Mytilus edulis: one gene and its partner. The protein of the gene in region 1 purifies or fractionates together with the protein of each later gene. This does not show direct contact. Links are inferred from orthologs where the notes say so. Each region holds a gene or a part of one and is shown on either strand. Other genes may lie near its edges.

Evidence for each region. The genes of interacting proteins can lie anywhere in the genome.
Region 2: the proteins of AP-2 complex subunit alpha-2-like (region 1) and protein numb-like purify together in Drosophila melanogaster (affinity purification with western blotting; 5 studies listed by BioGRID). This does not show direct contact. The link is inferred for Mytilus edulis from reciprocal best matches to the Drosophila melanogaster genes AP-2alpha and numb.

Annotation. Positions count from the first base shown.
Region 1 is NC_092350.1:91,494,894-91,498,655, forward strand, and holds the start of AP-2 complex subunit alpha-2-like, read left to right. Parts: upstream 1-1,092; 5' UTR 1,093-1,230; intron 1,231-3,762. UniProt on the Drosophila melanogaster protein: Adaptins are components of the adapter complexes which link clathrin to receptors in coated vesicles. Clathrin-associated protein complexes are believed to interact with the cytoplasmic tails of membrane proteins, leading to their selection and concentration.
Region 2 is NC_092346.1:36,947,179-36,950,940, forward strand, and holds the start of protein numb-like, read left to right. Parts: upstream 1-725; 5' UTR 726-1,042; intron 1,043-3,030; 5' UTR 3,031-3,046; coding exon 3,047-3,175; intron 3,176-3,762.

The DNA of each region.
Region 1 (3,762 bases):
CATTGATAAATCGTCAAGACTTGTATTACAAAAAGTGGATTTTTTGTTAAAACTGCATATATTTTCACTGATTTTATTAGTTAATGTGTTTGATTCATTTTTAAATAATATACGCTTTTTTTTAATTTCTTGTCACGGTACTGTGTAAATACAAGTTGTCTCTCGTTTGAATTTTTATTTCCTTTTTATTTTAGCCTAACATATATAAATATTTTTTAACAAGGTAAGTTATTTGTTAGGCTAATTTTATTATGTTTAATGTCGTGACACTGTCGCACTGAATATTATAGGGTGGAAACAAGAAGAAGGACGGGTATATTATATATTAATAATGTTATCTTTTTTCATATTCACGTAAAAAGACAAACACTAACGTAACGGTACCCAAATTACAACGAGTACCCAAATTGCACCTATTTAGCAAAAATAGCAGCGGAAATCTTACAAGATCTCCTAGAGACTAAACAATTTGTGTTTTTATGATTTGATACTGTGCTTGTCTTTCAAAATATGTAAAAATATTTAGATATGCACAAAACATTCACAGTATTTATCAACAGATGAAGTGTTTACGTCATCGCAACGTCATCTTTTTAAAATTAGCAAATACAATATGTTACAAGTATCCATTTCTTGAAAAAAGAAGAGTAAGCAACGACAAATATCCAATTGTTCAAAATATTTGTAAAAAAATAAACAAAAGCTTTGTTATTCGACTTTTGAAGATGCGAATTTAACTTGCATGGATGCAATTTGGGTACTCCTCATTACAGAATCATTGATGGTTTGGAGGTTAGTTCAGACCAATTTTTCTATGATTCCATATGAATTGAAAATCAAATTGGTGTACCTATATGATAAAGAAGGATACGGCTACAAAATAAACACAAAATAGAAATTTTTGTCTTGATCATAAAAAAACGTAGTTGAAAAAAACTGTCAAAATAGGTGCAATTTATTCTTCATTCCTGATTTGTATTATTCATTTAGACGAAAGTAAATTCGATTTATATGTATTACAGAATTATTTTTTTTGTGACGAAAGAATATAGTGTCGACCGATTTAAGGACGAAAGCAGATAAATTTGGTGGGTGTCTTCACAGCCTCGACTTGACGTTAGACATGCAAATGGCGGACATGTTTCGCCGATGATACTCCTATTGAATGAGTTTTCAGTATAAAAACCTTTACAACAGATATTAACGATATATTACATCAAATATAAGAAGGTATTATTTGTATTATACAAAAATAGCATGCAAACTATACACCAAACCTTGAAAAAATAAATAAACATACATTATTCCCAATTCTTACGAGTACATAATTTTTAATATCTGTCATAATCTGACAGAAAAAAACCAGTAGAAGTAAAATGTTCATTCATCAGTACTATATAACGAGTCAACTACCATGTTTTTTTTCTGCTATCAATATTTCATGTTTGATAAACATACTGCTGGTTTCCGGTATATTTGTATTTTGATTAACCTGATCATGGTATCGCTGATAAAACGCCTACTTTCTACACTTCTAAAGACTAAAGGTAAACGAAGATATGGGATATACAACAACAAGACGGCAACCTAACAGCAAAGGCAGGGGGCATTTGTCCAAATCTGACATCAAAACTACTGGAATCTTGAGACCATGCTAGATCTACACTCAGCATGCACAGTATTTGTATCGTGTTTTTCACCATCTAAATTGTAAGGGATCAGTGTTTTCTCACTAAAGTAATATGCCCACCTAATCATTATGCTAATGTTTTGATAAAAATATATTTCAGCTGTTAATTCAAAAATGCATCAAATTTTAATTGTACAGTTCTTTAGCATGTTTAGCAATAGCATTGTTAAGTCTCTATGATTTTTAATATTATATTTGTCTGTATACACCTTATCGCTATTTGTCCGCCATTACTGGATATCACACAGGTTCCCGTAAAATTTTGACGTCATAAAACAAAATATTTGACGCCACAATGGAAAAGTGATTGTTGTATGCGTCAAAAGTTGAAGCGGCCAGGTCAGCCGGGATTAGCGATAAGGTGTATTTGGATCACGCCTCTATTGTGCTCTTTCCAATAAGATATTGAATTGAATTGAACTATGAAAACTCAATTTTACTTATAAATTCTCAATTTCACAATCATTTCTTAAATGGTTGTGAAAATCAATCAAACAAATAGGTCATCTGTGTTTTTAATCCAAGTGCATTATTCATCATTGTTCATGCGCAATGACTAATCACATATATAATTTACAAGCAACAAAGTAAGGAAATGTTGAAAAAAAATATATATACATGTATACAAAAAGCTTGCGTCAAACTTTTCCATTGCAATTTATTCAAGATACAGGCATGACTATGATCATGATGATGCAGGGAACATTCAGAAAAAAAAGAAACTTTTTTTGCTTTCCATTGTTTCCCAAATTACATTTTCTTCCTTCGATGTGGACGTCATGATCATCATGTTTTTATACGACCGCAAAATTTGAAAAATTTTTCGTCGTATATTGCTATCACGTTGGCGTCGTCGTCGTCGTCCGAATACTTTTAGTTTTCGCACTCTAACTTTAGTAAAAGTGAATGGAAATCTATGAAATTTTAACACAAGGTTTATGACCACAAAAGGAAGGTTGGTATTGATTTTGGAAGTTTTAGTCCCAACATTTTAGGAATTAGGGGCCAAAAAGGGCCCAAATAAGCATTTTCTTGGTTTTCGCACTATAACTTTAGTTTAAGTTAATAGAAATCTATGAAATTTTGACACAAGGTTTATGACCACAAAAGAACGGTTGGGATTGATTTTGGGAGTTTTGGTTTCAACAGTTTCAGTGATCGGGAAGGTCGTGCGCCCTGTGCCTATAGCGCATATCGACCAGAAATGGCGCATAGAGTGACTTATGTAAGCGCCCACGTGGCGCACGATATTTTTCACTTCGTTTCGATACGTTTAGATATTGTCAAATGGATTTCCGATCGTGTTCCGTGCCGCCATGTGTGTGTACAAAACTGTGTAATGTTCCTCCAATGATAGGAGCACCTATATATTTTTGGGACGTCTCGTGTTTTTTCCTATGGAAATAATAGAACCATGGGGTGTAACTGATAACCCAACAAACGTAATTAACCATCATTCATGATATGATTTTTTACAACCTTAAACTTGTAAAATTTGGCTAGTACAGACGAGATTTGTCTCTAATTATTATCTTTTAACTTAGTTCAGCTTGCTACTATTTCGATTGAAAAACCCCAAAGCCTTTTTATGAATATAGTTTTTGTCTCCATAAAAGGAGACTAACTGTCCTTGTCACTTTTTGGTCTTTGGCTTGTTTTGACATTTTGTAAACATGCCTTCAGCGCATTGTTGTTTTGTTTTATCAATTAATGATACTCTCTACTGTTATTGTTGTCATCGTGATGAAGTAATAAATATACAAGAAGTGCAGAGGAAATGCCAAATACGTCCTCTAATACGGAACGTCGGGAATAAGTATGGTATCGACGAAGACCCAAATTTAATGTAAAAAACCCATGCACATGAACAAGACAACAGTAGCAGTAGAAACATTGTAAATAAAGGATATCTTAAATATTATCTGGTTTGGAAGAAATTATTTTACATTCTTTGTTGAATTGAAATAACAAAATCACAGGCACAATATCTATTATATTATTTAAAATCATAAAGGTAAGTACCACCATCTCTTTGCCGAGATATACACTTTTTTACTTTTTCACTGTAGTCA
Region 2 (3,762 bases), on another chromosome or scaffold:
CATCTGACCTTGACCTCATTTTCATGGTTCAGTGGTCAAAGTTAAGTTTTTAAGTTTTGGTCTTTTTATCTAATATTATATGCCAAAGGTCAACTATATTTAGTGTATGGAAATATATTATGATCTATATGTCAGTCCCGCAGGTTTTATTTGACCATGACCTCAATTGCACGGTTCATTCAGTGGCGGATCCAGGGGGGGGGGGGGGGGTTCCGGGGGTGCGCACCCCCCCTTTATTTTTGCCGATCAATGCATTTGTATCGGGACATATGTTTTGCACCCCCCCCCCCCCCTTTGCCCTGGGTGCCCTGGGTTAGCACCCCCCCCCCCCCCCCCCCCCCCCCTTTCGAAAATTCCTGCATCCGCCCCTGTCATTGCACAGTGTTAAGTTTTTGTGTTTCGGTCTATTTTTCTTAAGTAATAGGTCAACTATATTTGTTGTATAGAAGCTTTGTTAGCTGTACATTTCTGCCTGGCATGGTTCATCTGACCTTGACCTCATTTTCATGGTTCATTGGTCTTTGTTTAGCTATCTTGGTTAATGTTAAGTTTATGTGACCGTTCTAATAAAGCTTTATACTTAGGACTATCAACATAATATCAATGATTAGTTAAGAAGGCGAGATATTTCAGTGTGTGAACTCTTGTTCTTTTTCAATCGAGTTCATATTTCCCGCCTTTATTACTTAGAAAGGTATTTCCGATGACACATGCGTACTGCATTGCTCCAAGGATCAGTCCACTTCCGTTTCGATAATACAAATTTACCCACGCTAATTAGGAACTTCTTACACCTTCTTTTATGATAAAATTTGTCTTAGGAGGCTTAATTTCTTTAATTGGAAATTTTAGATAAACGGACAACAATCTTAACCGTGGATATGTGACCAGAACATCTGTGAAATTGTTGAAAATTGACACTTGTCTCAGTGGTTCATTCATGAAAATGATAATTTTACAGTACACAAACTTTTAAATCACTTTGTATACAAATCAGGCAGTCTAATACATAAAAAAATTTCAGCATAAATTTAACTTGAAGGTAAGCTTCCTTACATTCTCATATTTTTCAAATAAAATGTAAACTGTTGCACTTTGAGTTTAAAACGAAAACAAACATGGCTGCCATAAAATTGACATAAATTTTTAACAAGTTGGTGCAGACATTTTTTTATTCCTCATCATTTGGTTATCCCCAATCAATAATTTATAGGTGTTCACAGCAACACCAGCTTTATGAATGTCCAAGTTGTCAATCAATATGAGTAATCATGTAAAACTCCTAATTACTCATACATATTTATTGATGACCTAATTTTTGTCCCATCACACTGAAGTGTAAGTATTTATAGGTATAAATGTGAATTAAGAATTTTAAGTGAATTTTTTCATTTTCTAATAAGGGATGACCCTGATAGTCAAACATTTTGTTGGCACTTTATCATTGTCTGGAATCAAAAGTTGCATTTTTAGATCAGTATCTTGTGACAGTGCACATGGTGCAGCAAAATCTGTCAAAAAATGTGTAAAAGAAATTTGATGTCAGTGGTTGAATGGATTTTAAGTTCTTGTGGTCAAAGACTAGCTTTAAATTTATATCAGTAGACCATTTTTTATCCCTTTCGCCAGTAACGTTTATAGGTTGCAATTCTGTAAATATGGACAAAACAATTTTCCTTAGGAACTGCAGCTGTTACGTACCAGTTTTTCATTGAAGTTTCGTAAAAAATATATATTAGAATGAATAGGTTATATGCACTACAGTTTTTTAAAAGGTCAAAATATAGGGCTATGCAGCATATTTTTAATATTTATATGACACGAATTACAGGAGTTTAAACTTTAAAGTCAAAGTCTGTTCTACCCTTCCTTAAGGATGGGTCTTCCACAGATTTCAAATTGCTTGCAATTCATGTGATTCTATATATGTAACATTTCCAAGTTAAGTCTCTATAATATGTAACATAGAGATCATATCTGTGAACCAGTAGGTAAACAAAATAAAATATCTATGAATATTATATATCTCCACAAAAGTAGTGTGGTTTGTGAAACAGCTGTATTTTCAAAGTGCAACCTAAACTAATTTATTTAAATTGAAAAAAACTAAAGAAAATGCACATTTTACACAACAATATGCGTTGCAATAAAATCCTTGCCTTTGATCTCATTGTGCCTTTCCCTAATGTCAACATCACAAATTATATAAGTACTTATTTGACATAAATTGATATGCTTGACATTACAAGCTTAGTGCAGGTGTCTGTAGAAAAACTTGGAATTTAATTGCAGTAAAAAATATTTTTGTTCTCACTTTATTTAAGTATTATATCATTTTCCGCTCATATTTTGTATTATGTATTATATGTTCTTTCATGCACACCTTTATATTTATATATGTTATGGATCTCTTATAAAATTCCTATATTGGTGTAAAATTGTGTATATGTATCCAGGGGTCGTATTTAATCTTTTTTGTGTACTGGCCAGCCGGACCAGTGGACTGAAAACTCTGCTGGTCCGGCTCCAAATCTACTGGTCCTGCTAAAATGACATTCATTTGACAAACACTAATATAAATATAATTCTTTTTCCCATGATATTTGGTATTTGCGTTTCCTTTTGTTAATTTCATATACTTTATTTTGATCTTCCTTTTGATTTTCACTTGTTTTATTTATTTTGTCCAGCGGTTTAACTCCTTCCAAAAATTTCTTATTGTTGTGAAGGACGCTCACCCGAGATATTAATTAACTTGCTCAATTGTAATACCCCTGTCCCCCCGAGTACCGTGTAATTGATTTCACAGATAAATTGTTTTGTAAACAAACAGAGATTGCGATGCAATCAGTGATTTTTATCGACAAATTTCTACTGGTCCACAAGACCACCAGCTGACAAAATCTTCAGGTCCGAGGCACATTCTACTGGTCCTGGACCACCGAGCCGCTAATTTCGACCCCTGTATGTATCCTATACATGTAAGCTGTATTGCTTTCGGAATAAAGTATTATTATTAATATTTGTTAGAAAAATAGTTGCAGTAATGGAAAGATTAAAGAAAAGACTGAGTTTTCGGAAAAAGAAAGACCATGTACCAGAATGCTCAAAACCACATCAGTGGCAAGAAGATGAGAAAAAAGTTAGAGATGGAACATGTAGTTTTCAAGTGCGGGTAAATATTTCATGTTGATTTTTCTGAATTTATAGGTTTATCTAAGTTATATAAACCAATTTATGTTGTAAAAGTCACTGTTTTAACATGTTGTTGATTCTTTGCCATCAATTTTGATGTGCATGCATTGATATTAAGGCCAACTAAAATTAATTAGAAGATTTTCATCCAAATTTTTGAAAAAAATGGGGCGGGTGGATTTTATTTTTTAAATTTTATTTCATATGAAATCATCGTCATGAGTTTTTCATACCGCGGGGTATATGCTAGTGGGAAACAAGCTTGTATAATGTATATACATGCTGTATAAGGAATCCTACACTATTTTTCAAACTCTTAAATAAAAATCCCTGATTGGCAACCACTGTTATACATGCAATTGCCGCTTTAGAAACCTATTTATAGTAGACAGCATTTCTCTTCAGTCTTCAGTTAGACTACTAGTATACCTACACCACATTTATTTTGCTTTCTAAGCAATGGTTTGTAGTCGTCATAAAATCAATTAAATGTTTTGGTACAATTGTATGCAACACAAGTATTACGAGTACAGAATAAAATGTAAACTCAGTGTTGAAAGAAATTAT